Linked DNA regions of Callithrix jacchus. Each later gene encodes a partner of the first gene's protein in a complex. Links are inferred from orthologs where the notes say so. Each region holds a gene or a part of one and is shown on either strand. Other genes may lie near its edges. The genes, in order: GCC2 and RAB6A.

Evidence for each region.
Region 2: the proteins of GCC2 (region 1) and RAB6A are in contact, whole or in part, in a crystal structure (PDB 3BBP), measured with the Homo sapiens proteins. The link is inferred for Callithrix jacchus from reciprocal best matches to the Homo sapiens genes GCC2 and RAB6A. Residues at the interface, in NP_852118.2 of Homo sapiens: Thr1585, Ile1588, Leu1589, Glu1591, Gln1592, Leu1595, Leu1596, Glu1599, Arg1602; in NP_942599.1 of Homo sapiens: Lys15, Ile46, Gly47, Ile48, Trp67, Arg74, Phe75, Ser77, Leu78, Ser81, Tyr82, Asp85.

Annotation. Positions count from the first base shown.
Region 1 is NC_133515.1:20,672,616-20,688,038, forward strand, and holds the start of GCC2 (GRIP and coiled-coil domain-containing protein 2), read right to left. Parts: upstream 8,851-15,423; 5' UTR 8,784-8,850; coding exon 8,778-8,783; intron 8,413-8,777; exon of another isoform or gene 8,408-8,412; coding exon 8,351-8,407; intron 6,704-8,350; exon of another isoform or gene 6,660-6,703; coding exon 6,575-6,659; intron 5,540-6,574; exon of another isoform or gene 5,411-5,539; intron 4,908-5,410; coding exon 4,840-4,907; intron 1,024-4,839; exon of another isoform or gene 811-1,023; intron 1-810. UniProt on the Homo sapiens protein: Golgin which probably tethers transport vesicles to the trans-Golgi network (TGN) and regulates vesicular transport between the endosomes and the Golgi.
Region 2 is NC_133511.1:67,207,061-67,222,594, forward strand, and holds the start of RAB6A (ras-related protein Rab-6A), read left to right. Parts: upstream 1-6,557; 5' UTR 6,558-7,005; coding exon 7,006-7,075; intron 7,076-15,534. UniProt on the Homo sapiens protein: The small GTPases Rab are key regulators of intracellular membrane trafficking, from the formation of transport vesicles to their fusion with membranes.

The DNA.
Region 1 (15,423 bases):
AAAAAAGCAAAAACCAAAGTGAAAGGTCTCTATAATAAAAACTACAGAAACACAGGAAAAAAAAAATGAAGAGGCAATAAGTAAGTGGGAAGACATTTCATGCTCATAGATTACAAGAATTGACATTGTCAAAATGACCATACTACCCAAAGTAATTGACAGTTCAATGAAATCTCTATTAAAATGCCAATACCATTTTTCACAGAAATAGAAAAAAGAATCTTAATATTTATATGAAACCAAACATAAGCCAGAACAGCTGAAGTAATTGAGTTAAAAAATAAACAAAGCTGGAGGCATCACACTACTTGACTTCAAAACATATTACAAGGCTATAGTAACCAAAATAACAAAGTATTGGTGTAAAAACAAGCATACAGATCAATGGAACAAAACAGAGAACTCAAAAATAAATCCAGGTATTTACAGAAAGCTTATCTTTGACAAAGCCATTAAGAACACACACTGGGCAAAGGCACAAATGGTGCCAGGAAAACTAGATAACTATGTGCAAAGAATGAAAGTGGGTCCGTATCTCTCATCATATACAAATATCAACTAAAAAAATAAAGACTTAAATATAAGACCCACAAAGGTATAAAACTAGTAGAAGAAAACAAAGGGCAAACTCATCAAGACATTGGTCTAGGCAAAGATTTTATGGCCAAGATCTCAAAAGCCCAGGCAACAAAAACAAAAAACAGATAAATAGGACTATGTTAAACTAGAAAGCTTCTTAATATATATATTTTTAGATAAGGGCTCCCTCTGTCAATCAGGCTGCAGTACAGTAGTGTGATCATGGCTTACGGCAGCTCAACCTCCTGGGATCCCATTGTCTTGTCGTAGTGTCCCAAGAAGCTGGGACTACAGGCGCGCTCCACGATGTCTGGCTAATTTTTATAGTTTTTCTCATAGACGGATCTTGCTATGTTTCTCAGCCTGGTCGCAAACTGCCGGGCTCAAGTGATCCTCCTGCCATGGATTCCCTTAATGCTGGGATTACAGGCTAAAGAGCTTCTTCTGCATAGTGAAAGAAACAATCAATAGCGTGAAGATAGCCTCTTAAATGGGACAAATATTTGCAATCTACTCATCCAACATGGGACTAATATCCAGAATATACAAGGAACTCAAACAACTCAACATTAAAAAATAAAGAATCCCGGGCCGGGCGCGGTGGCTCAAGCCTGTAATCCCAGCACTTTGGGAGGCCGAGGCGGGTGGATCACGAGGTCAAGATATCGAGACCATCCTGGTCAACGTGGTGAAACCCCGTCTCTACTAAAAATACAAAAAATTAGCTGGGCATGGTGGCACATGCCTGTAATCCCAGCTACTCGGGAGGCTGAGGCAGGAGAATTGCCTGAACCCAGGAGGCGGAGGTTGCGGTGAGCCGAGATCGCGCCATTGCACTCCAGCCTGGGTAACAAGAGCGAAACTCCGTCTCAAAAAAAAAAAATAAAATAAAATAAAGAATCCCATTAAAAAATGGGCAAAGGACATGACTAGACATCTCTCAAAAGACACAGAAATGGCCAAGTATATGATAAAATACTCAATATCATTAATCATCAGGGATATGCAAATCAAAATCACAATGAGGTATCATCTTACTCCAGATGGAATGGCCATTAGGAAGAAAAAAAGTAACAGACATTGGTGGTGATGTGGAGGAGAGAGAACTCTTCTACACTGTTGGTAGAAGTGCAGTTAAGTATTAGCCACTGTGGAAAACATTTTCGAATTTCTCAAAAAACTAAAAATAGAGCTACCCTACAAATCTAGAAACCCCAATACTGGGCAGTTACCAAAAAGAGATCAATATAACAAAGGAATATATGCACTCCTATGTTTATTGCAGCACTATTCACAATAGCAAAGAAATGAAATCAACCTAAGTGCCCATCAAAGGATGAATGGATAAAGAAAATGTGCTATATATATATATACAATGGAATACTGTATGGCCATAAAAAAGAGTGAGATGTCATTTCCAGCAATACGGATGGAGCTGGAGGTCATTATGTCGAGTAAAATAAGTAAGGCAGAGAAAGGTATTTTTCAAAATAGCCAGAAGACCTTAAATGTACCCAACACATATATATGGTAAATACTTGGGTGATGGATACTAAATACTGACTTGATGATTATACATTCTTCGCATTTAACAAAATTTCACATGTACCCAACAATTATGTACAAATATAATGTATCAAGAAAACAAAGGAAAAGAAAAAAAAAACCTTAAAGGTAAAGTTGGCTAACTTGGAGAAATTTTCTTTTTTTGTGTGTGTGTGAGACAAAGTCTCACTCTGTTGCCCAGACTGTAGTGAAGTAGCATAATCCTGGCTCACTGCAACCTCCGTCTCCCAGGTTCAAGCAATTCTCCTGCCTCAGCCTCCTCAGTAGCTGGGGCTACAGGTACACGCCGCCACCATGCCCAGCTAATTTTTTGTATTTTTAGTAGAGACAGGTTTTACCAAGTTGGCCAGGTTGATCTCCAATTCCTGACCTCAGGTGATCCATCCACCTCGGCCTCCCAAAGTACTGAGATTACAGGCATGAGCCACAGTGCCTGACTGAAATTTTCTAATCTTGTCTTTAGGGGTAGTTTTGACAGTGGGAGAATGCATTGATAAGGATTAAGGAGGAAAACAGCAGGTAGATATTTAAATGTTCTTATTCTGAAATGCAGTTCTGTAACAAGTATCCAGAGTTAATGGATAAAAAATTAGAAAACACTCTGATTCTTTTTAAAAGAAAAGGCCCCTTTTCCGAGTGTGTGTCCTTGCCTACGTTGGTGTTTATAAAAATATCCCCCAGGCCGGGCACAGTGGCCTATACCTGTAATCCCAGCACTTTGGGAGGCTAAGGCGGGTGGATCAACTGAGGTCAGGAGTTCAAAACCAGCCTGGCCAACATGGCGAAACATCGTCTCTATTAAAAATACAAAAATTAGCCAGGCATGGTGGCAGGCACCTTTAATCCCAGCTATTCAGGAGGCTGAGGCAGGAGAATCACTTGAATTCAGGAGGCAGAAGTTGCAGTGAGCAGAGATCATACCACTGCACTCCAGCCTGGGTGAAAGAGAGAGACCCTGTCTCAAAAAAATTAAAAAAAAAGACCCCCAGAAATAACACATGGTAATGATAATAACAATTATTGGGCACTTATATGGCCAACCCAGTTCTATGTGCTGTAACCTTATCAATCCTATATTTGTACCTCAATCCTACAAACAGAAAGTATTATCATCTGTATTCTACAGATGACAAAACTGAACCATAGAGAAAGAATTTATGAAACTTAGTCACGGTCAGATAGCTGGTCAGTGGAGGGACAAGGATTTGAAAGCCTGACTCAGGCAGTCTGGGTGAAATTGGCCTTCTTCTTTAATTACCATATAGTTGTAATGTGGCTGTCATGGATTAAGAAAACATGTAATGACCAAATAATCGAATAAGACTACTCTGAATTCAATAATACTTAATTGAAACAGTACACTATAAACTGAAATGGCATTTGTGCCATAAAATGATACTGTGTGACATGCATATGGATTTAAAGACCCCGTGTAATAACTCTCTGGTAGTCACTCTGTAGTCCACTGATTACAAGTTGGGAGCCGCTGATGAGAAAATAAGATAATATATAACCAAAGGATATAAGGCCAAAGCAGTGAAAACAATATTGCAGAGCTCCAAGATGCAAAAGAAACTTTATGGAGGCTTGGCCTAAGAGGGGTAATGAAAAAGCATTTGTTACCAGTAAGGGAATGGAAGTAAGAATAAGCAAGTCAGGTTTTTTTTTTTTGAGACAGTCTTATGCTGCTGCCTAGGTTGGAGTGCAAGTGCAAGGGGGAATCTCAACTCACTGTAACCTCTGCCTCTGGGTTCAAGCAATCCTTGTTCCTCAGCCTCCTGAGTAGCTGGGATTTCAGGCGTGGGCCATCATACCCAGCTAAACTTTGTGTTTTTAAGAGACAAGGTGTCACCATGTTGGCCAGACTGATATCAAACTCCTGACCTCAAGTGATCCTCCCACCTTGGCCTCCCAAAGTGCTGGGATTACAGATGTGGGCCACTGCGCCTGGCCTGCAACTCAGGTTTTTAAACAGGGAATAAAAAGAGTATTTTGTTATCTGGCAAGATTATGTAAGACTAAAAGAGAAAGAGAGCCCAGTTAGGCTTTTAGTAAAATAGGTGAAGTGTTTGATGTGTTTAACATAAAGCCAAACAGAGAGAAAACAGAGAAACTGGAACAATATTTTAAAGCAGTAATAGGTCTCTGGTGACTGATACATATAGAGGAGAAAGAAAATAGACAAAAAGTGTCTCTAAAGTCAAAACTTACAAAACCCCATGGTGCCACTGGTCTAACTAAGCAATTTGGTTATGTTGAGTTTGATGAGATATGTGAAATGTGTGAGGAATTTATTCTCTAGGCAGCTAGAAACACAACTGTGAGATCTGGGTCAGTAGTTGTAGTCATGTCCAGGGATATGGATCTAACTATAGATTATTATATACAATACACATAAAATCACTGAAATCCTGAGCATGGCCAGGTTTTCTCAGGGGGATAGGGAAGAACAGACAGAGAATGAAGTAACAACCATAATTAGAAAATATGTGGGAAGAACAAATAATAATTTCAGAACAGAAAGAGACCTAGAGGTCATTAACCCACTCTTTTTACAGTAAATCAGATAGGTAAAAACAACCAAGGCAGAGAGGAAGTGGAAGAACATGGACAGAAAGCCAGATAGCCTCCAGTAGGCTGACAATCTTCATGGAAATTTTTTCTCTGTAGACATTTTCTCTAAGTAATAATTACCTTAATAATATCATCAGTTCCTTGAGTAACAGGTTTTGATTTGAGTTCTTCAATTTCTTTCTCCAATTCTAAACAATTAAAAAATAAAGGACTCCAGTTCAGAAATAAAGAAAATAATTACTGAGAAACTGATTAAGTACATTCTTATAAAATCCCAGACATCTGCAAATTAGAATAAATTTAAGCAGATATTTTGAAAAAGTATTTTCACCCACATAATATTATTTTTTTCTTTTCTTTTCTGGAAAACTTCAAACAAATAGAAAAGTACAGAGAATAGTATGATTAATCTCTGTGTACTCACCACTATGCTTTAGCATTATTACACGGCCAATTTTGTTTCCTCCCAACCTGTAACTCACTTCCTCCTTCACTGCTTTTCTTATCCATCCTGATAATTTTCAAGCATACCCCAGACATCATATTATTTCATGTAAGTACATCTTAATATATAACCTTAAAGCAACAATCCCGTATTAAGAATAAACGTTACTGAGAACAGCCTGGCCAACATGGTGAAACTTTGTCTCTACTAAAAATACAAAAATTAGCCAGGCATGGTGGCGGGCACCTGTAATCCCAGCTACTCGGGAAGACTTGGGAGGCTGAGGCAGAAGAATCACTTGAATCTGGGAGGGGGAGGATGCAGTGAGCCTAGATTGCGCCACTGCACTCTAGCCTCGGCGGTAAGAGCGAGACTCTGTCTCAAAAAAAAAAAAAAAAAGAATAAATGTTAATCTAAGTGTTTTATTAGCACATGTACAGATGTCAGGCCTAGAACTTCTTTCCAAATAAATTACTCTCTCTTCCTCACAAGGTGATCCAAACTCCCAAGACATAATATTATCTTTTCTAATAGAAAATAAGTCTTTGCTTTTAGGCTAAGCAGTTAACATTTGTAAGTCATTGGAAATTCAAGAGTTCATGTATACATACTAAAAAAAAAGATACTAAAATCTTTTTCTTCTGGAATAAAAAGAAAACTGAGACAGCCCCGGTGGCTCCCACCTGCAATCCTAGCACTTTGCGAGGCCAAGGCGGGTGAATTGCCTGAGTTCAGGAGTTCGAGACCAGCCTGGGCAACACATGAAACCCCAACTATACTAAAACACAAAAGAATAAGCTGGGCGTGGTGGCATGTGCCTGTAATCCAAGTTACTCCGGAGGCTGAGGCAGGAGAATTGTTTCAACCTGGGAAGCAAGGGTTGCAGTAAGCTGAGATCGCGTCACTGCAATCCAGCCTGGGCAACAGAGCTAGGCTCCATCTCTTCAAAAAAAAAAAAGAAAGAAAAGAAAAAGAAAACCGAATAGGAAATCAATCAACCAATGTCTGCAAATGGAAATCTTTTATTATTTTAGTTGAGGAAGCCTTTTATCTCTTTGGGGTTCTAATCTTGTGTCTCTTTTTTCAACTGACTTCTCTTGAAAAAAAGTTTTACTCAGAAGAATCTAAAGTCTACAGGAAGGAAAAACACGCTTAACTTACAAAAACTTTTAAAATCCTCCTCCCTGACTTTATTTTAATAACACAAAAGTCACTGTGGTTTACAGATGTGGGAATAACTTAAAACTCAGAGGTAAATAGTTACAACGTTAAATAACAGATTCTACTACACTAAGATATATTTGAATCACTGGAAAACAAACAAAAAAGTCAATGCATTATTTTAAAAACCACCATTTTAAACCACAATTAAAGAGACTGTGATCAAGATGAGTATTTTCAACCCAATACCTGTACACCTTGATTTAGCTTTCTGTATTAGCATCATCTGCTTCTTGGCAAACTTGATGAGATCTTCTTTGGGCAATGTTTCCAGCTGAAAGATGTGGTCGTGTTACCAACTTGTTATAACTCATGTTCCTAGTACACCACAAAAAAGAAACATAATGTCTGCCAGAAAACAAAAACATTCTACTGAATAAATCTTTACGCCAACAACATACTTTGTTCCACATTTTTTGTTTGTTTGTTTGTTTTTTTGAGACGGGGTTTCGCTCTTGTTACCCAGGCTGGAGTGCGGTGGCGCGATCTCGGCTCACCGCAACCTCCGCCTCCTGGGTTCAGGCAATTCTTCTGCCTCAGCCTCCTGAGTAGCTGGGATTACAGGCACGTACCACCATGCCCAGCTAATTTTTTGTATTTTTAATAGAGACGGGGTTTCACCACGTTGACCAGGATGGTCTCCATCAGTTGACCTCGTGATCCACCCGCCCTGGCCTCTCAAAGTGCTGGGATTACAGGCGTGAGCCACCGCGCCCGGCCTGTTCCACATTTTTTTTTTTTGAGACGGATGTACTCTATTTCCCAGGCTGGAGTGCAATACACGATCTTGGTTCACGGCAACCTCCGCCTCCCAGGTGCAAGCGATTCTCCTGCCTCAGCCTCCCGAATAGCTGGGATTACAGGCCCTACTACCAGGCCCAGCTAATTTTTGTATTTTTAGTAGAGATGGGGGTTTCACCATGTTGGCCAGGCTGGTCTTGAACTCCTGACCTCAGGTGATCCACCCGTCTCAGCCTCCCAAAGTGCCGAGATTACAGGTTTAAGCCATGGCTCCCGGTCACATTTTTTAAAATTAGCAAATGCAATTGCAAGTACATAATTGCCAAGCAACTACTAAAAATGTAAAAATTAGTTATGCAACTACTATGAAATGTAAAAACCAGGGCATATCCTCTTAGAGCTAATGTTACAGGTTGACATTTGCTAGGTTTTGATTTCTTTAACTGTAAAATTAGTGGGTTAGAACTAATGCTACTTAAAATTCCTTGGAGCTGTAAAATAATTTCATGCTATTCGAGGCTGAAAGTCTTTGGTCACAAGAAAATTTCAGCATAATTACAGCATCAAGATGATCCAGTAACATTCAGCCTTTAATTAAAAAATTAAGCTTTACCACTTGAGAAAATAGCTTAAGTCTTGTGGTCTCAGGGTTTCTCATTTGTAAAGTGAGGGTAACAACAGTACCTATCTCATGGTTATCATGAAGGCTTAAATGCACTGAGTGGTTAGGCAAGTGCCTGAAATTCAGCATGCAGACGATAAACCTTAGCAATAAACCACTATCGTTCAGAATGATTGAATGTTAAACATTGTACAGGGCCATAAAACAGGACTAATTCAACTCTTTTTCACAATGTAGAAACTGGAGCCTACAGATCAGAATCCCTTGATTCCTATTCTACGTCACTGCTCCTTCTACTACATCATCACTATATAAACCTTCTTAAATTAGACAGCTTTGTTTAATGTCCGAAAAATCGCAGGATCTTTCAGCAGTACTAACCAGGAGCAGGAAGTAAACAAAAAGTCTTCTTATATCAAGGCACAGAGGGGAAAAAGAAAGAAACAGGAAATGGACGGGTGACTGCGTAAATTAAAATTGAGATCCCTTACAGCAAGGCTATTTTTTTTTAAAATAGCCCCCTCCCTCCGCCCGCCAAAGTTTTCCAATTCATCACCCTTCCACACTCTTCAGGGAGTCCTCTAGTCAAGTATTCTCTTCACCTTAGATTTTCCGGTCCCAGGGGTAGCTGGTGAAGCCACCCCATCTTGAACAGGATCCTGCAAAACAAAATCAAACCCAGGTGTCAGAAGAACTCTTTTCCTAATTCCAGACGGAAAGCGTGGTAAGGTTTCCACGCTTTCCGTCTGGAATTAGGAAAAACCCTCTGTGCAATCAAGTGGGGGAAAGCCTTGTGAGACAGAGAATGAGGGGGGACAGAGGCGATCGCTGTGGGAAATCGTATACAAACCGGCTCTAAGGGGACAGGTAACCGCCAGGGATGGAGTTTAGGGAAGATGGGGAGGCGAAGGCAGCGCGGATTTCCGGGCACCGAGCGGGAGACTGCCGCGCCGTTCCACCGGGCCCACCCCCAAATCCCAAATCGCCGCGCAGAAGGCTTGATGGGAGGCAGTGGGCCCGAACTGTTACCTCCATCTCCGCCTGCCAGCCGCGGCCCCAGAACCAGCAGCCGCCACCGCCACACTTGTTTGCGCCCGACTCTGACGTAGGCTCGACTGCAGGTCAAAGGTCGCGCTCTCCGGTCGGCCCGCCCCCCATGTCTCCATAACTACGGCTCGGCAGCAGTTCCGCTTCCGCCTCTGGGTCCGGGAGAAGGTTCCCCTCCGGGCGCTAGCCGAGGGCGGAGTCCTTGTCGACATTCCACCTGCGTCTAGACCCTGTCTGGGCCTGCGGGTCAGGGAGTAGGTGTGGGTCACGCCACTACCTTTTATTAGCATGGGAACGCAGGCCGATTACCCCTTGGGGCCTCGGGCCTCAGTTTCCACGTCTGTAAAATCTTGTGAGAGTCAGGAGAACATTCGATTGGAGGACAGCTCCTTCAGCGCCCCCCTCCAAGGGTAGCTGCTGGCCTGCCAGTGCTTGCGGGACCCACAGCTGCTTCCGGGGGGCTGCTTAAGCATTTGTGGCTAGCATGTTGCCCGGGAGCGCCCCGACTCACAGGTCAGAGTTGGGGGGCTTCCCTGAGGAGGTATTTATTGGCTCTGGATGCCTTGAGGAGGTCCTGGGACAGCTCTTCCCTGCAGCTACCCGGTACTGATGGTGACCTGGTGGAGGCAAGATAGTCGGCCAGGGAACAGGGAAGCCAAGCGAGGAGACTCTGCCCCGAGGGCACGCCGAAGAATCTGTAGTCGAATCCCAGGGCTGCTGCTGTGTCCTGATTGGCGGTCCAGAGCTCTGAGGGCCTTTCTGTGAACTGCTGAAATGGTTTACTGCACTTTTACCTTCCCATTAAGGTTTTCCATATACTCCAATAGCTAAGGTCACCTGAAGATAACCCAGTTTCCTGTAGTTTGAAATGGCCAAACGGATGAAGAGGCAGCATACAGTACTTATCCAATAAATGGTAGCTGATTATTACTAGGTAAAGGAAGTGTTATATAACCAAACGAGAAAGCACAGCTATTGCTGACATTTCGCTAACATCTACTCTTTGTCTTTGACAGTGTATCACCCATGGTGTTTGACTGTCTTTGGTTCAGGGGTGGTATGTGACCTAAGATGTACAGTCAGAAGTTTTGAAACTTCTGTTTAGTATTTTGGTTTAGTGATAATTCTGTCTCTGTGGATGTGATTGAGGAAACATACAGCCCTGATTGCTGTTGGTAGACATCTGCCCCTATGGTAGAAAGCAGCCTGAAGACAAAATTGTTAAGAAGAAAAAGGGCCAGGCACAGTGGCTCACGCCTGTAATCCCAACACTTTGGGAGGCCAAGGAGGGCGGATCACGAGGTCAGGGGATCCAGACCATCCTGGCCAACACGGTGAAACCATGTCTCTACTAAAAATACAAAAAAAGTAGCTGGGTGTGGTGGTGAACGCCTGTAGTCCCAGCTACTCGGGAGGCTGAGGCAGGAGAATTGCTTGAACCCAGGAGGCGGAGGCAGTGAGCCAAGATGCCGCCACTGCACTGCAGCCTGGGCAACAGCGAGAGACTGTCTCAAAACAAAGCAAAAAAAAAAAAGGAAAAATGCAGAGCCCAGACATCCCCAGAGGAATGAAGCTGGAGCTCTGATCAATTATCAGTGAGTCAGTAAAGTCCCTTTAAGTGATCCAGTTAACACTGGGTTTTGCTGTTACTTGTAAGAGTGTACACATCTTTTGGGAGGAAGAGTTATCCAACTTGAAGAAAAAAATATCTCTCTGTAATGAGATGACTAGAGAAAATGTTCATAATTCTGGACACTGTGCAATGGTATAAAATGGGCAACTTTGATACTAGAGTAGAAAAATTACCTCAGACAACATTTTAGAAGAAAAGATCTAAGAGCCACCAAAATTTTATGGCAGCACTTGCTATTAAAGAAGCATTCTTCTTGAAATCTGTCAAAAGACTGGGTGCGGTGGCTCACGCCTATAATCCCAGCACTTAGGGAGGCCAAGGTGGGCAGATCACTTGAGGTCAGGAGTTCGAAATCAGCCTGGCCAACATGGCGAAACTGTGTCTCTACTAAAAATGCAAAATTAGCCTGGCATGGTGGTGCATTCCTGTAGTCCCAGCTACTTGGGAGGCTGAGGCAGGAGAATTCACTTGAACCCAGGAGGTGGAGGTTGCAGTGAGCTGAGACTGCGGCACTGCACTCCAGCCTGGGTGACAGAGTGAGAGTCCATCTCAAAAAAAAAAAAAAAAAAAAACTGGCACAAGACAAGAAAAGAATGCCCTCTCTCAGTACTCCTATTCAACATGGTATTGGAGGTTCTGGTCACAGCAGTCAGGCAAGAGAAGTAAATAAAGGGCATTCAAATAGGAAGAGAGAAAACTTCTTGTTTGCAGATGCCATGATCCTATATCTAGAAAACAGATATAGGATATAGAAAATCCTATACATAGGATATAGAAAATCTATAGATATAGCCCAAAAGCTTCTTAAGCTGATAAGCAACCAGAGCAGTCTCATGATACAAAATCAATATGCAAAAATTGCTAGCATTCCTATACATTGACAACAGTCAAGCTGAGAGCCAAATCACAAACTCATTCACAATTGCCTCAAAAAGAATAAAGTGCCTAGGAATACAGCTAACAAGGGAAGGGAAAGAGCTCTACAAGGAGAACTACCACTGCTCGAAGAAATCAGAGACGACACAAACAAATGAAAAAATATCCCATGTTCATGGATAGGAAGAATTAATACCATTGAAATGACCATACTGCCCAAAGCAATTTATAGATTCAATGCTATTTCTATGAAACTACCATTTACATTCTTCACATAATTAGAGAAAGATATTTTAAAATACATATGGAACGAAAAAAGAGCCCAAATAGCCAATGCAATCCTAAGCAAAAAGATTAAAGCTGGAAGCATCATGCTACCTGACTTCAAACTATACTGCAGGGCTACAGTAACCAATATAGCATGGCACCGGTACAAGAGCAGACACATTGACCAATGGAACAGAAATAAGACCATATACCTACAACTATCTGATCTTCAACATACCTGATGAAAACAAGCAATGGGGAAAGGATTTCCTAGTCAATAAATGGTGGTGGGATAACTGGCTAGCCATAGGCAGAAGATTGAACTGGACCCCTTTCTTACACTATGTAAAAAAACTAACTCAAGATGAATTAAAGACTTAAATGTAAAACCCAAAACTATAGAAATCCTGGAAGACCACCTAGGCAGTACTATTCAGGATATAGGAATGGGCAAAGATTTGACGACAAAGACGCCAAAAACAATTGCAAGGTGAAAAGCAAACATTGACAAATGAGATCCAATTAAGAGCTTCTATATAGCAGAAGAAACTATCAACAGAGTAAACAGACAACCTACAGAATGGGAGAAAATTTTTGCAAACTATGCATCTGACAAAGGTCTAATATCCAGCATCTATAACAAACTTAAACAAATTTACATGATAAAAACAACCTATTCAAAAGTGGGCAAGACATGAAAAGACACTTCTCAAAACAAGACAGACATATGTCCAACAAACCTGAAAAAAAAGCTCAACATCATTGATCATTAGAGAAATGCAAATCAAAATCACAGTGAGATACTATCCAGGTAGAATGACCATTATTAAGTAAAAAAATAACAGATGCTGGCAAGGTTGTGGAGAAAAAGGAATGCTTATATACTATTGATGGTAGTTCAACCATTATGGAAGACAGTGTGGTGATTCTTCAAAGATATAAAAACAAATGCCATTTGACCAGCAATCCCATTACTGGGTACATACCCAAAGGAAAAGGAATTGTCCTGTCATAAAGACATGCATAAAGACATACATGCACATGTATGTTCATTGCAGCACTATTCAGAATTGCAAAGACATGGAATCAACCTAAATGCCCATCAATGATAGACTGGATAAAGAAAATGGTGTACATACACACCATTGAATACTATGCAGCTATTAAAAGAAACAAGATCTTGTTCTTTGTGGGGACATGAATGAAGCTGGAGGCCATTATCCTCAGCAAACTAATGCAAGAACAGAAAACCAATACCACATGTTCTCAATTATAAGCGGGAGCTAAATGATGAGAACAAATTGACATATAGAGGGGAACAACACACAGTGGGCCTAATGGAGGGGTTCGAGGGTGGGAGGAGGGAGAGGATCAGGAAAAATAACTAATGAATACTAGGCTTAATACCTGAGTGATGAAGTAATTAGTACAGCTGCCATGACATATACTTACCTATGTAACCTGCATATGCTCCTGAACTTAATTAAGAAGAGTGGATAAATGATTTCCACAGATAGTATTGTTAAAACTCAAGACTTTGAGCAGCGTAAGAGGAAAAGAGGGATTTCTACATCAAGTATGATATATTGCGTTTTATATAGCAGGCATTCCATGAATATTTAATTGAACCAATTAATGTATTAAAGGATCAAGGAACAAAACTTAAGATCACTAGTTAATTTTTCCCCAGGTTTTGAGTAAGCTTAAAGCTGAAACTTCAGGGTAATTGTTCTATCTGGTGATACAAATGATGTTATAGCATTTTTTTCCTTTCTGGTATGGAATCCAGTCTGGGATCAGGTATTACATTTGTCTTGTCTCTTCAGGCTCCTTTTTCTGGAGCACTTACACAGTTTTTCTTGGTCTTTTAAAAAATTAACATTTTCAAAACTGTAGTTTTCCCCATCTTTTATTTTTTCAATTAACATGTAGTAGAATGGATTTTCCTTTAGCATACAGTTCCTTGAATTTTAATACACTTAGAAACATGTACCCATCAGCACAATCAAGTTTCAGAAAAGCTCTACTTTCTCCCTGACTCCCTCATACTAGTCTGTTATAGCCACATTCTCCTTCCATCCCCAATTCCTGGCAACCATGAACTGTTTTTTTTATCACTATACTTTTGTCCTTTCATGAATATAATGTAAATGGAAATAAACAGTATGAACCTTTTGAGACCAGCTTCTTCCACTCAGCATATTGCCTTTGAAATTTATCCAAATTGCTGCATTTATCGATAATTTGTTCCTTTTTATTGCTAAGTAATATTCATGGTATGGATGTATGACAATTTGTTTGTCCATTCACCAACATTTTGATTTGTTTTCAGTTTTGGGTGATTATGAATAGAGCTACTATAAACATTAATGTACAGGTTTTTGCAGAAATGTAAGTTTTTGTTTCTCTGTGGTAAATATCTAGGAGTAGGATTTTCTGGACTCTACAGTAAGAATGTGTTTAACCTTTTTCTTCTTTCTTTTTTCCTTGTTTTTTTGAGACAAGGCCTCACTCTTTCACCCAGGCTGAAGTGCAGTGGTGTGATCATGGCTCACTGCAGCCTTGAACTCCTAGGCTCAAGAGATCTTCCCATCTCAGCCTCCTAAGTAGCTGGGGCTACAGGCACATGCCACTATGCCTGGCTAATTTTTTATTTTTGTAGACATGAGGTCTTACTATGTTGCTCAGGCTGGTTTGAACTTCTGGCCCTCAAGCAATCCTTCTACCTTGGCCTCCAAAGTGCTGGGATTACAGTCATAAGCCACTGTACCCAGCCATATTTAACTTTTTAAGAAACTGCCAAACTGTTCACCCTGATTATTACCCGGGATAACACCAAGAGATGATCTTTTTCTGGGGATGGCTGCATTTAGTGACCAACTGCTTGAGCAAGGGGCACAAAAAAACCACAAGATGACAAAGACAATCAAAAACCTTTCTGGGCTGGGGGCAGTGGCTCATGCCTGTAATCCCAGCACTTTGAGAAGCTGAGGCAAGTGGATTGCCTGAGCCCAGAAGTTTGAGACAAGCCTGGACAACGTGGCAAGACCCCATCTCAAAAAAAAAAAAAAACTTTCTGATTTTGTTTTAATGGAGGCTTTTTGAATGCTTAACAATATTAGATACCTTTGGATGGGAAACAGCATTGAATACCTTGGCTATCAAACCATTGCTGAATAACTGTTGCAATAAAATTTTTGTACCATGGTAGGGTTGCTAATTGTCCTGAAAACCAAATACATATTAGTTTCTGGGGCCATGCAAGTGTAACTGTGGTTGGCTGATGGACTAAAGTGACAGCACCATCGCCTGAAAAAGTGTCAACAGAGATGGGGCACCACCACTAGCCTGGGAGGGCTCAAAGGTGTACTGTAGTCAGTCTGCCAGGAGAGAATCAGATCAACTTTGGTCAGGAGCCACAAGTGACAGCCTCTGCAGAACAGAGTCCTTCTCTTTTTGCCTTGTCTGCCATGGTGGATATGTGTTCATGGCTGGTGTGATGATGGATCCAGGTAGAGATAGAGTAGCGATCAGGTCATTGCAAGCAGGTTGATTCTGGTTGGTCTCAACAGAGAATAGGCCCTTCCTGTGGACGTTTACATAAGAATCTCCAAAAGTTTAATAAGCAGCTGTAATTTATTTTTACTGTTCATAGCCCTATGAAATGTGTCTTTAATCTGACAGTCTGTAGTTTTCAAAGTGGCAGACCAATGGCTATGCCATTGGCAACACTCTAAGAATTTGTAAACATATAGCAAAATTCATCAAGGGAGGTATTAGCCAAAGCTCTGAGTTGGTCCTTGAGTTCTGTACTTTGCATGGAGGTACTACATCTTTTTGGTTCTGCAAAGC
Region 2 (15,534 bases), on another chromosome or scaffold:
GGCAGGTCTCAAACTTCTGACCTCATGATCCATCCACCTCAGCCTCCCAAAGCCTCCCAAAGTGCTAGGATTACAGGCGTGAGCCACTGTGCCCAGCCCAGAAAGGGATGGGTTTAAATCTGTTGTCTATACAGTCATTAATACAATTCCCTCGTTTTTGTCCTTGCTTTATCCCTACCTTATGTGGTACTTGATATTTCACATTCCTGAGCAGAATTTCTGCAGTTCTTCTTAGCTGATTGGCTTGCTTCTTGTGACTTCATCCTTCAGTAAGCACTTTATATGTTTTGTTTAGTCAGATACCATTGCCCTATCTTTGTCTCCCATCTTAAAATGTTATGGCTCTGGGTTAGAGATGTCAAAGACAGAGTTTGCATTTTAATTTCTTTATTCTCATTTTGGAATGATTTCAGAAAGGGAAGACAGAACATCTTTAATCTAGCTTCCTAAAACTGGAAGTGAGTTTGTTTTCCCAAAATATCCAGTGAGATGATGTCGGGGCTTATTATCTCACTGGATATTTTGAGCGACAATTTCTATAATTATTTTGATATCTTTAATTTTATATAAAATAAAGTCCTAGTCACTTTTTGTTAATTGAAAAGCTGAAGAAATATTTGCAGAAAGATAGTTTCTCTTGGCTTCTTTGGCAAGTTACAGTTTGGCTATGCATTCTGTTGGTATTTCAGTGCAAACAGTGTTGGTCTCACTTTTCTATCCTAAGATGCTCTGTTCTTTATATAAACAGCAGTAGAGGCAGTTGTTCTCTTCTTCTCTGAGTGATTATCACTTTAGTAGCAGGTGGAGTGATTCATTCTCTGGAACATCTTGGAGGAGACTTTATTATTTGTGGGGGATAGAGTGTGGGGAGAGGAGAGCTCCAGCAATGTGTCAGATTTTATACATCCTGGACTAGCATAAAAAGAAGCAAGTTCTTCCCCCACTGCAATTTCAAAGCCTGGAAGTAACACCACACTTACAAGGCTCTGAGAAATCACATTATTCATAACGGGGACCATGATTCACATGAACAGAACAAAATGGAATTATCAAAAATAGATTCGGTAGATCAATCTGTAGCAAAAATATCTTCTGACTTAGCTATTAATTGGCTGTAATTACAGAAAGGACCATTCCATTTAAGTTCTACCACCTTCTCCACTTTGACAGACTAATTTTTATTCTTGAATGGCATGTCCTTATAGGTCAAAGTATTTGGAAAACAGGTTTTAACATGACTCCTTCCCCCTTTTTTCTTGTGGTCTTTTAAAAATGAGACTTATGGGCTGGGCATTGTGGCTCATGCCTGTAATCCCAGCACTTTGGGAGTTTGAGGCAGGTGGATCACGAGGTCAGGCGTTCAAGACTAGCCTGGCTAACATGGTGAAAACCCATCTCTAGTAAAAATACAAAAATTGGCCAGACCTGGTGGTGTACACCTGTAATCCTAGCTACTCAGGAGGCTGAGGCAGGAGAATTACTTGAACCTGGGATGCAGAGGTTGCAGTGAGCTGAGATTGCAACACTGGACTCCAGCCTGGGTGACAGAGCGAGACTCTGACTCAAAAAAAAAAAAAAAAAAGAGACTTAATTCAATATACCTTGTGTTAATTGTACTCATTTAATTGGTCACCGTGAATTGTCACTTTTATGCTTTGTATATTGACCCACTATTATTTTTAGTAGCAATGATTATAATAACCTGCAGTGTGGGTTAGAAGGGATTCCATTTGATGGAATGTGAATTCCTGCCAGAGCTATTATTTGTTTCAAATGTGAGCAGTATGGTTTCAGTCCTTTTACCTGGACAGTTTTTCTCCTATTGATTTCCTGCCTCTCCAACATAATAAATCCCTTTTTAGGGAGTAGTAAACAGAAAAAGGCAATTCCAGTTTGCTAACTACTACTTTATATATACACATACAATATTGAGTGCCTAATATTCAAGCAACTATGCAAGGTATTTTAAGGGATCTAAAGATGAGAATGTCAGCTGCTTTCAGCTGCAAGTAGTAACAAAGAAATACAAAGACACATAAAGGCATTATTAAATATAAAGACATTTATTATGTTAGTAAAAAGAAATCTAGAAGAAGGCCAGTTCCAGGGTTGGTACAGTGGCTCAATGATGTCTTTTAGCTTCCTGCTTAGCCATCATCAATGGATTGGCTTTTTTCTTTAGAATTATATATTAATGTTTAGAAGAGCTATCTTAGTTCTAAATATCATTTCCTTACATAGCCACATCAATGGCAGAAAAATGGCAGTCTTTTTCTCATTCCTTTTCATCAAGGAAGAAAATATATTTCTCTTTATTTCTTCTCTTAGAAGAAAAAAGCCTCTAACACATTTCCTTCATCTCCCACTGGCTCAGATGGACTCATGTACCTATACCTTAGCTGAAGGAAGGCTGGAAACATATCTGTTATCTCTAGTATATATGGTAGAAGTATGTGTGTGTGTTGTGTGTACATTGCTGGATATGCAACCAATAGTGTCTGTCACTAAGAATAAGATGAAATTGGCTGGAAGCAGTGGCTCATGTCTGTAATTTTAGAACTTTGGGAAGCAAAGGCAGGCGGATCACTTGAGGTCAGGAGTTTGAGACCAGCCTGGCCAACATGGTGAAACCCTGTCTCTTCTAAAAATACAAAAATTAGCCAGACATGGTGGCACATTTCTTTAATCCCAGCTACTCAGGAGGCAGAGGCAGCAGAATCTCTTGAACCCAGGAGGTAGAGGTTGTAGTGAGCCAAGATCATCCCACTGTACTCCAGCCTGGACAACAGAGTAGGACTCTATCTCCAAAAAAAATTAAGAAAGAAATTTCAGTCCTTCTTTAAGAAGCTTTGTGTTGCTCAGGGCAGAAGATAAGCTACAATTTTATTATAATTTCTATGTGATACATTTCCTACACAGTCATGGGCTTCAATTTAGATATCACCTTTAAATTGATAATGAAAGCTGCTTTAGGTACTTTGAATTTGGAGCTGTGAAGCCTGTCCTCTCCCATTGTTCCTAATTTTTAGTTACAAGATCTGTTCTGGCCATCTTTTTCATAAATAATGTTTTAGGAATGAAGTACCAAATTACATATTTTTGGGTGATGCTCTCTTTTTCCAAAATGCTTTTTTTTTGAGACGGAGTTTCACTGTTGTTACCCAGACTGGAGTGCTATGTCACGATCTCGGCTCACCGCAACCTCTGCCTTCCGGGTTCAAGCAATTCTCCTGCCTCAGCCTCCTGAGTAGCTGGGACTACAGGCGCGCACCACAATGCCCAGGTAATTTTTTTATTTTTAGTAGAGACGGGGTTTCACCTTGTTGACCAGGATGGTCTCGATCTCTTGACCTCGTGATCCACCTGCCTCGGCCTCCCAAAGTGCTGGGATTACAGGCTTGAGTCACCGCGCCCGGCCCTCAAAATGCTCTTAACTTCCTTCTCTGCATGCCCAAATCCCATTTATCCTTCCAAGAGAGTGAAAAATAATTCCTCTTTTATTTTTTCAGCAAACATCTGCTGCATGCTAACTATGTAGTAAGCACTATTCAAGCACTGGGGATACAAGATGAGATCTGACCTCATGGAGCTTACAGTCAAGGAGGGACAACTGACAATGAACAATTAAGAATAGGGTACAATAGGACAGGCAAAGGTACTTATACTGTCAGTGGGGATGTGAGCAGATGGGAGCAAGACTTGTAGCGTAGACTGAATGTTTGTGTCTCCCTAAAATTCATATGTTGAAACCATAGTCTCCAATGTGATGGTATTAGTAGGTGGGGCCTTAGGGAGGTGATTAGGTCATGAGGGTGGAGCACTCATAAATGGGATTAGTTCCCTTGTAAGAGGGACCCCAGAGAGCTTTCTTGATCTCTTTCTGCCATGTGAGGACACAGTGAGAAGATGGTTGTCTATGAACCAGGAAGTGGGCCTTCACCAGACACCGTATCCTCTGGCACCTTGCTCTTGAACTTTCCTGTCTCCAGCTGAGAGAAATAAGTGTTTGCTGTTTAAGCCAACCAGTAATGGTATTCTGTTATAGCAGCCAGAATGGATAAAGACAACTTCTTTAAGTGGTAAGTGATTTAAAAGAAAAAAAAGACAATTTTTTTGTTTTGAGAGGGAGTCTCACTCTGTTGCCAGGCTGGAGTGCAGTGGTGTGATCTTGGCTCACTGCAACCTCCACCTCCCAGGTTCAAGTGATTCTATTGCCTCAGCCTTCCGAGTAGCTGGGATTATAGGCACACACTGCCATACTCGGCTAACTATTGTATTTTTAGTAGAGTTGGAGTTTCACCACATTGGCCAGGATGGTCTTGAGCTTCTGACCTTGTGATCCACCTGCCTTGACTTCCAAAGTGCTGGGATTACAGGCGTGAGCCACCATGCCTGGCTAAAAAAAAAAGACGATTTCTTTAAACTGAAGGATAAGTAGGAATTGGGGAAGAGTGGGGAAGGGAAGGGAAGAGTGTTTGTGGTAAAGAGAAGCGAGTGTAGGAAATCATGAAGGTGAAAATTCTCTTGAAAAGGACCTCTCTAATTCCTCTCTCTTTTTTTTTTCCTTAGGCCCTTCTCTGTCTGAAAATTCCTCTTTCTCTTAGGTAATTTTTCCATTTGCTATACCTTATAGCACTTAATATGCAATGGTTAGGCCATAAAGTCTCTGAAGACAAAACTTACAAGGAGTGCGTGATAAATATGAAGGCAGCTTCAGAGTCTAATGAGACTGTATATGTGTCAATGCAAAATGAAAGCTTAAAACATTAAAATATTTTAGGTAAGAGGTGGACTATACCATATGGCCTTCAAAATGACAGGGAATAGTACCACCTGTCTAGGTGACTACAGAGACCTAAGCAGCAGGGAGGACTGATTCATAAAGTTCTGTAGGAAGTACAAAGTAATTATAGTTCCAATCCTCAGATGTTACTTTAAAGTCTATTTCAGGAAACATAATGAAAGCTTGGTACCCATCAGAAGGAAAATAGCTACTCACTTTTGTTTGCATAAGCTTTTTAAAAAGTTTCTTTGTTTAAACTGTTCTTTGTATGTGCCAGGGTCTGGATTAATGGTGAAGAGGACTCTATTAGACCTGACAAACTGCTTGTAAAATCAAATGTCCATGCCACAAGTTAGGTTTTTACCATTTTTCTTTAGATGCATATTCTACCTGCACGTGTCTGGCAGAGGAAACAGAAGGGAGTAAATTTTGATAGTGAGTGTTTGAGGATAGAGCTGTTGTCTTGATAGGCTAGAACAGATGATATTTTAAGAACTTCAGTTCCTCCCCGTGATTTATTCTAGGTCAGCAATTCATCCTTGGGTCTGAGAAGGCACTTTTTTGATCCTGTCATTTCTACAGCTAAGCAAATAACTACCCAGTAATGAGAAAATGTACATAAATGTTTTTGTGAATTATATAAGATACTATATACAAATGTAAGGACTTTTTTTTTCTTCACTTGGCAATTTTTTTTTTTTTTTTTTTTTTTTTTTTTTTTTTTTAAGACAGGGACTTGTTCTGTAGCCCAGATTTCAGTGTAGTGGTCACATACTACAGACTCCAAATCCTGGACTCAAGCAATCCTTCTGCCTCAGCTTCCTGAGTAGCTGGAACTACAGGCGTGCACCACGACATTCGGCTAATTATTTTATTTTTTGTAGAGATAGTGTTTTGCTTCGTTCCCCAGCCTGGTCTCGAATTCCTGGGCTCAAGCAATTCTATCGCCTCGGCCTCCCAAAATGCTGGGATTACAGGCGTGAGCCATCGCGCCAGGCAGCTTTATGGATTTTGCAAGTCATTTTCTACCTCTAGGCTTTGGTTTCCTCATCTGCAAAATTGGGAGGCCCTGATTCTGACAGTTATAAAATTCCTGGAAGCAATGGAAAAGAATGTTATTTAGTACGATGCCGTGTGAGGAATTATGATAAGGTGGAGAAGGTGGGGTGTGTGCAGGGGTGAAGGACAGATCTGAGGACTGTGGGGCCGGCTGAGGGTTCGGGAAAGAGGCTCCTATTACAAATCTTATGGCTATAGGACCCACTCACACTTTTTGAGGTATCATTCCACCTTAGTCCCGGCCCCGCCTCAGCCTCACCTTTCTTTCGCTTCCGCCCCATCTCTTCCCCTCCCCTTCACTCACTTCTTTTTCCCTCTCCTCTGGCTGAGAAGTGCCACACTTCGTATGGCCGCCACCGTGCTCCGCTTTCCATTTCTCGAGGGCTGCGCGCGCTCTCATGCCGCACCTCACTCGCGTGTCGGCCCGCCCTCAGCCCCTTCCGATTGGCTTAATATGTAAGTGACGTAAGGGCTTCATCTACCCGCTAACTTATCCCTGGTTTGCCCCGCCTCCTCCTGGCTTCTGATGCGAGTGGAAACCTAACCTGCCCCGCCGCCGCCTCACGGGAGGAAGGCGTCGAAACCAGGAAGGCGATGGCGATGGCGATGGCGGTGGCGGTGGCGCGCGCGCACGCACGCACGCACGCACGCACGCACGCACGCCAGCGGCCGGCGGGGCAGCAGGCTCGCGCCCGGGCTCGCCCCGCGCCGCGCCAGAGGCTCGCGCACTCAGCAGGTTGGGCTGCGGCGGCGGCGGCAGCTGTGGAAGCTGAGGTGCTGCGCGTGAGAGGTCCCAGACACGTCTGCGGTTCCGGCTCCGCCACCTTCCGCCACTCTCACCCAGGTCTCGGAGCCGGGTGCTGAAGGAGGGAACGGCCCTAGCCTTGGGAAGCCAGAGCACACCCCTGGCTCCTGCTGACACCGCCCTCCTTCCCTTCCCAGCCGCGGGCCTCGCTCAGTGCTAGGCGACTCTGCGGGGAGGCGGCGGCTGCCAGTCTGTGGAGAGTCCTGCTGCCCTCCAGCCCTGCTCCTCCGTCGGGCCCTGCAGGGGCCGAGAGATCTCGGCGCCCGCCCTTCCGCTCGCCTTTTTCGTCAGCGGGTTGGAGCATCGTCGGTCCGGGAGGTCTCTGGGCTGAGGCGGCGGCAGCTCCTCTGGTTCCACCATGTCCGCAGGAGGAGACTTCGGGAATCCACTGAGGAAATTCAAGCTGGTGTTCCTGGGGGAGCAAAGCGGTGAGTGCGTGGCTCCCCCACTCCTGGCAGCTGGCCGCAGCGTCCCCGCACCGCCCCCGGTGCGGCCCTTCCGTCCGCGGAGGCTTCCTGCTCGCCTCGCGTCCGCGCTCGTTGCCACCGCAGCCCTTCCCGAAGTGCCCGCCGGTGCCATCAGCCCTCCGCCTGGATCCGTCGGTCGAGTTTTTACCCTCTTCCCCGGGCTCTTCGATCGTCTCCGTTCTCCGCAGGCCGGCCATCTCCGGTCGATCTGCCCTCCCTCCGCAGCCCTCACCCCGCCCAGCCTCTTGTCCATCCCTTTCTTCCTCCGGTCTCCGCCGTCTCCCCTACCCCGGCCTTCTTTCTTGAGCCCCACCCTTATTCTTTGCCCTTTTCCCAGTTCCTCGGCTCTGTGAGGCCCATTCAGGGAAGCTCCACTCCTGAGAGCGGGCCCTCTTCAACCTTGGCCAAGGAGGGTGGGATCTGGGCGTTGTTTTCCCCAGAGGCTTGGCTCTGAGAAGTACTGATGTCGTGGAAGGTGGGAAGGGGGGTGGTCGTAGAAAAAAAATATTACATGGTTTTCACCTTAGTGGGAAATTAGTCTGGAGGAAAACATCTGAATTGGAGGCGACTTGAGCATGGGGTAGTTGGGGGTGAAAGGGGTAGTGTCGGCAGAAGAGATTTTTGCCCCTTAGGTTACATTGGGCTGTGGCTTGTCGGAAAACCTCATTTTGTTTTCTTGACTTTCATCACTGACAATTCTTTTGGCAGTGTTGATTTTTCAGTCTCTGCCAGATGCTATGTCATGATCATTTTACTTGGAATTTTTCTCATCTCACCTCCCCTTTTTCTCGTTTCAACGTGAAGCAGCGTTTGAGTCTCATGGTGGTACAAATGGGAATTACTGGGGAAATGTTAATTATTCATTTCTTCTTGAGTATTTTCCAATGATAAATATATTGAGGATTCATGAGAGAGAAGACTTGGAATAACAAACATCTTTGTTTTCTCGGATTTCCTTTGGAAAATGGAGTACAGTAGGAATAGACTCATCATCTAGTTATCTGAATTCGATTTACATACGATTTGGGCTAAATGATTCTTTTATGCTTAATATTTCGTACTGTCTGATGAGTGAAATTGTTATGTCATTTACCTGGTCAGGTTATGTTATCACTGTACTTTTGTATTAGATACAGGATTCTAATTTTGTGATTGTTATTTCTACGATTACTTCGTGTAGTAATTCCAGTTTTCTGCTGTAGTATGCAAACTTGACACTCGACAATTTAGAGATGATTACCCTTCTTTGTTTTTCTCACACTTTTCATGATCATCTTTAAAATTCAGACATTGAGAGATTAGTTCTGAGTCATCAAACATTGAATTCCTACTATGTGTTTAGGTGAGGTTATAGAAAACATTAGTTATTTGTTTCGACTGGAAAGCATGTAAGTGATATAAATTCATAGATTTTATTACTACTTTGAACTACTTATTCTAATTCGTATGCCATGACAGGTTAATACTCTCGAAAAATTGCCTCCAGTTAGAACTAGGAAATAATTTTTCTTCTTTTATATGTAGATTATCCTCCCCTCCTCCCTTTTGGGAAAAAAATCCAATCTCCCTCCGTTTTGCTTATATATTTTCCTGGAGTAAGTATAAACTTGTGTCTTTAGGTGAGTAACTTGGTAGAACCTATGGAGTTGATTCTGGTCCAGCTATTATATGTCAACTTCAGGATACTTCTCAAAGATAGAGTTTTTTGGTCATTATTGATAAAAAGGATCCAAAGTGCTTATTGTGCATTCTAGGGATATTATTGTCTTCCTTAATGTTGTGATGCGCAGCTGTTTAGTTTGCATGAAAAACCCATTAATCTCCCTGTCTAAAAAGATTTTAGCATGAATGGAGAGCTTAATTTCCTATCTTCAGGTTTCCTTTGAATTTCTTATTTGTATATGTTCTAATTCATAATGAAGAGTTTTATGGCTTCTGATTTCTTACCTTGTTTAAGCCTCTACTACTCTTCCCCCTCCATTACTAAAGCTTGGTTAGATTTTTTTGTAATAGACTTTATTTTTTTGAACAGTTTTAGACTTACAGAAAAATTGAAAAGATTGCGCAGAGTTCCCATATACCCACACATCTAGTTTCCCCTCTTATTAACATCTTGCATTAGTATGGCACATTTGTTACAATTAATGAATTAATATTGGTATGTTATTATTAACTTAAGTTCATAGTTTATTCAGATTTTTAGTTTTAACCCAATGTACTTTTTCTGTTTCAGCATTCAATTCATGATATGAAGTTAATTATCTTTTGAGGTTACTATATTGCCAAGTAATGCCATTCAGTAGCTTTGACAATGAAAGATTGATCTCTGTTTTCATGGTGTCAGTGTCTATAGTTTTCTTATGTGTTAGTAGAGGTCTGTAGACTTCATGTTGTTTTGATGTAACTCTTCATGAATTGTTTATTTTTAGGTCTGTTAGAATTCCACAATCCAGCTTTCAAAGGCTATAATCTGTGGCAAAGCCTTGTTTTGTTCCTTAATAGCATTTGCCACATTTATAGTTATCTGATTTTTTGGGTGTTTATTTCCCACAAAAGAATGCAAATCCCATGAAGATAAAAACTATTACCTTTTTTGTTCATTGTATCCTCATTACCTAGCATAGTACCAGGCTCATAGTAGTTGCTCAGACATGTTGGGTGAATGAATGATGGCTGAATCTAATAATAACCAAAGCTGGTAGCCTGTATTACAGTTTTTGCCATGTTGAAGTTCACATTTTTTCCTTATACAACTGATAATTTTACAACACTTAAAACTTACATCATTTGATTGTATAGGGAAATATATCAGATACTTAAGAGAGTGGAGAAACCAATCATTTAGGGGCCCATTTGAAAAATAGGACTGACCTGAATTTTGTACTTTTTTTTTGAGTTGAGCAAAATTAGCCTTCCTTTGTTAAAGTTGTTGTTAAATTATTTGCTGTTAATATAACACATAAAAAGTATTCAAATTATATGCTCATGTATAATGATGTGCTCATGTACTCATGGAACTGATCTGAAGTTAGGTTTTATTTGGCTTATCAAAAATCTAAGATGCTAGGGTGGGCACGGTGGCTGACAGCTGTAATTCCAGCACTTTGGGAGGCCAAGGTGGATGGATCATCTGAGGCCAGGAATTCAAGACCAGCCTGGCCAACATGGTGAAATCCCGTCTCTAAAATATATATATGTATATAGGGGGGTGTGTGTGTGTGTGTGTATTTAAGATACTGTGCTCTGTAATGAAAATGAATTGTGTCAGTACATGAAGCAGATTGGATTAATGACATCAATCTTAACCTGGGTAAATTCTTTTTTTTTTTTTTCTTGAGATGGAGTTTTGCTCTTGTTACCCAGGCTGGAGTGCAATGGCGCGATATAGCCTCACCGCAACCTCCACCTCCTGGGTTCAGGCAATTCTCCTGCCTCAGCCTCCCGAGTAGCTGGGATTACAGGCACGTGCCACCATGCCCAGCTAATTTTTTGTATTTTTAGTAGAGACGGGGTTTCACCATGTTGACCAGGATGGTCTCAATCTCTTGACCTCATGATCCACCCACCTCGGCCTCCCAAACTGTTGGGATTACAGGCTTGAGCCACTGTGCCTGGCTTTAACCTTGGATAAATTCTTACAGTTTAATAAAGGAATGTTCAGCCGGGCATTCGGAATAGCTTGAATCTGGAAGGTGGAGGTTGCAGTGAGCCAAGATCTCCCCACTGCACTTCAGCTTGGGCCTCAGAGTGAGACACTCTCTTACTGTTGAATATTTCAACATTTATTTATGAGACTCTGTCTCATAAATAAATGAATAAAAGAATGTTGAAATACACAACTAAGTTTCCTTGAGAAGTCTCTTGTGTTATGACCTCTGGCTATTGTCTTGAGATGCAGAGGCACTTTTAGTAATGGCACTCAGTGGTTTACAGTAGAAAATATTATATATATATATATATATATATATATATGTTACTAATTATAAATTAGGAGATGTAATGGCAGAGAGAAGTGTATGTTAATCCTGCTACTGCTTTTTACCCTGTATATTGCCTTTTTTTCCTCACATCAATTCTGATCAAATTGCAATATGTTAGATAAGGAAAAGATATCTTACTGTTAGAGACCAGCAGTACTGACCAGTTGTTTTTCTTTTGAGACAGGATCTGGCTCTGTCACTCAGGCTGGAGTGCAGTGGTGCCATCTTGGCTCACTGCACCCTCTGCCTCCCAGGCTCAAGTGAGCCTCCCAAGTAGCCTGGACTACAGGCTAATCTTGTACGGTTTTGTGGAGATGGGGTTTTACCATGTTGCCCAGGCTGGTCTCAAACTCTTGAGCTGGAGAGATCCTCCCACCTTAGCCTCCCAAAATGCTAGGATTATAGGTGTGAGCCACCACACCCGGCCAGTACTAAACATTTTATATTGGCTAGATCGGTGGTTTTTAACTTTTTTTCCCCAAGACCTCTTTCTGCTCTTACACATTTTTGAGGATCCTAACGAACTCTTGTTAATATAGTTGTTGTTCTTCCTCCTCTTTCTTTCTTCCTCCTCCCCTTCCTCTTCCTCCTCTTCCTTCTACTCCTCCTCCTCTTGTTCTTTTCTACTTCCTCCTCTTCTTCCTCTTCCTTTTCCCTTCCTTCTCCCTTCCCTCCGCCTTCCCCTTTCCCCTTCTCCCTTCCTTCCCCCTTTCCTCTTCCTTCTTTCTTCCTCCTTCCCCCTTCTCTTTGGATGCAGTGACTGTTCACAGGGGCGATCATGGCCCACAGCAGCCTTGTCTTAAGCTCTCCTCTTGCCTCAGACTCCCTAGTAGCTGGGACTGTAGGCACATGCCACTGTGCCTGGCTTTTGTTTATGTAGTTTATATGAACATTTACTGTACTGAAAACAGAAAATTTAAAAATATTTAATAGATTAAAAATAATAGGGCTAAGTGCAGTGGCTCACGCTTATAATCCCAACACTTTGGGAGGCTGAGGCAGGCAAATCACTTGAGGCCAGGAGTTTGAGACCAGCCTAGCCAATATGGTGAAACCCCTTCTCTACTGAAAATACAAAAAAATTAGCCAGGTGTGGTAGTGGGCACCTGTAATACCAGCTGCTTGGGAGGCTGAGGCAGGAGTATCGCTTGAACCTGGGAGGCAGAGATTTCAGTAAGCTGAGATTGTGCATTTGCATTCCAGCCTGGGCAACAAGAGCGAAACCCTGTCTTGAATGAATGAATGAATAAATAAAATAATAGTAATAAACCCATTGTATGTTAACATATATATATATATAGACAGTCTCCCTCTGTTGCCATGCTGGAGTGAGTGCCTCCCAGGTTCAAGTGATTCTCATGCCTCAGCCTCCTGGGTAGCTGGGACCACAGGCACACAGCACCATGCCTGGTTAATTTTTACTTTTTTTTTTTTTAATCTATCTTTCTTGATGATGCAAAGGCAATGCCTGGTTAATTTTTTGTCTTTTTAGTAGAGACAGGGTTTTGTTGTGTTGGCCAGGCTGATCTCAAGCCCCTGGCCTCAAGTGACCTTCCTGCCTTGGCCTCCCAAAGTACTGGGATTACAGGCATGAGCCACCATGCCCAGCCTTCATATTAACATCATTTTTGAAATGAAAAATAACTATTTTCCAGACAGAGATTTAGTGAGAGTGGCATTGTTTTACATATTTGCAATCTCTGTAATACCTGACTTAATAGAAGACAATTGGATTCTCATAGCTGCTTATGCATTCAATCCTGTAATAGTACACATCATATAGGCACTGGGAAGCTCCATAATACACTGCAAGAGAATAAGAGTGAAAAAGTTATTTATTTATTTTCCTCAGAACATGCTACTTTAAATAACATCTTAATATTATGAAAATGGTTTTGACATCCAGGAGTTTGTGGACCTCCTGAAAGGTATTGGAAGATCCCAAAGGGTCAGTGGACCACTCTTTGTAAACTGCTGGGTTAGGTAATATCAAGCCAATTGTATCTCCTATTATCATGTTGCCAATTTTTCATATCTTGTTCTGAAGCCTTAAAACTAAACAGTAGAGTTAATGATTTAGAGCACTAGAGGACTAATAGAGATGGAAAGTGAATATAGGTTTCATGTTTTAGCAGTGGCTACTAACATTTGGCAGATTACTCAACATCTCTTTATGTTCCATTTTTCTTATGTATGAGATAAAGATAATAGACCTATCGTAGAGTTATTGTGAAGTTTAAACTAGTCAAATATTGCAAAACATTTAGAAGAGTGCTAGGCACATGAGAAGTGCTCAGTAAGTATTTTAATTTAACAAATGTTTATTGAAAATTGCTACAGTGTCAGGTGGTTTGGTGTCTACTCTTAAGAAATTTTCATTTTGTCAGGGAAGAAATATACAATACCAAATATTGTAGTGTATGATGAGTGCAGCTGCTTTTAAAAGTAGAGCTAAGGCTGGGTGCGGTAGCTGACACCTGTAATTCTAGCACTTAGGGAGGCCGAGGCAGGCCAATCACTTGAGGTCAGGAATTGGAGACCATTCTGGCCAACATGGTGAAACCCTGTCTCTACTAAAAATATAAAAAATTAGCTGGGCATGATGGTATAATCCCATCTACTTGGGAGGCTGAGGCAGGAGAATCACTTGAACTCGGGATGTGAAGGTTACAGTGAGCCGAGATCACTCCATTGCATCCAGCCTGGGTGACAGAGTGTGCATCTCAAAAAAAGAAAAAAAAAAGTAGAACTTAAAGCTACGTAGGAGTAATGCAAACATTGAGTTTTAGGGAAGGGACATTTACTAATAGTTTAAGCCTATTTAGTTGAAATTCTTGAATTGGAGCATTCCAAAGTTAGAGAAGACTGAGAGATCATCTAATCCATTTGTCTTAGGGTTTTAAACTGGGCCACTCTTTATTTTTCTCTACCTTCATTTTTAGTGGGTAATATAATTGCATATTTCATAAATCAAAATTATATAAGAATATATACTATGAGAAATTTTACTTATGTTCCTGTGACCCTGTTTTCTACCCTGCTTTTTTCTTTTTTTTGAGAGTTTCACTTTTATCACCCAGGCTGGGGTGTAGTGCCACAATATTGACTCACTGCAACCTCTGTGTCCTGGGTTCAAGTGATTCTCCTGCCTCAGCCTCCCAAGTAGCTGGTTTTACAGGCGCCTGCCACCACACCCATCTAATTTTTGTATATTTAGTAGATATGGGGTTTCACCATGTTGGCCAGGTTGGTCTCGAACTCCTGACCTCAGGTGATCCACCTGCCTAAGCCTCCCAAAGTTCTGGGATTATGGGTGTGAGCCACCATGCCCAGCCAACCTTGTTTCTTTTTTAGTAATTATATATATTAGTTTCTTCTGTATAGTTCAGGGTTTCTACAAGCAAATATGAATATAATTTTTTTTTTTTTGAGATGGAGTCTTACTGTGTCACCCAGGCTGGAGTGTGATGGTGCAGTATCAGGTCACTGCAACCTCTGTGTCCTAGGTTCAAGCAATTCTCCTGCCTCAGCCTCCCGAGTAGCTGAGACTACAAGCCCACGTCACCATGCCTGGCTAATTTTTTGTATTTTTAGTAGAGACCAGGTTTCACGGTGCTGGCCAGGCTGGTCTTTGACTCCTGACCTCGTGATCTGCCCATATCAGAAGTGCTGGGATTACAGATGTGAGCTACCACACCCGGCCTGAATATAATATCTTCTTCTTTTTTTTTTTTTTTTTTTGAGACCAAATTTCGTTCTTGTCACTCAGACTGGAGTGCAGTGGTGCGATCTCTACTCACTGCAACCTCCCCCTCCTGGAGGGGGAGAATCATGAGATTCTCCTGCCTCAGCCTGCTGAGTAACTGGGATTACAGGTGCCCGCCACCATGCCTGGCTAATTTTTGTATTTTTCATAGAGACGAGATTTTACTATGTTGGCCAGGCTGGTCTTGAACTCCTGGCCTCAGGTGATCCATCCACCTCAGCCTCTGAAAGTACTGGCATTACAGGTGTGAGCCACATGCCGGGCCTTATTCTCTTTTTCTTACATAACATGTATCAGATTTTTTTTCACTTAACAACATATCCTATAAGTACATATGAAAAAATGTCTAGGATATTAGTACAGATTAGTACATGGCTTTCCCATTCTTTTTTCTAAAATAAATTTTATTTTGGAGTAGTTCCAGATTTATAGAAAAATTGGATAGTACAGTTTTCATATACCCTACACCTAGTTTTCCTCTATTAATACCTTTTTTTTTTTAAAGAGTCTTGCTCTATCGCCCAGGCTGGAGTACAGTGGCATGATCTCGGCTCACTGCAACCTCCGCCTCATAGGTTCAAGCAATTCCCTGCCTCCCAAGTACCCGGGATTACCGGTGCCTGCCACCATGCTCTGCTAATTTTTATAATTTTAGTAGAGATGGGGTTTCACTA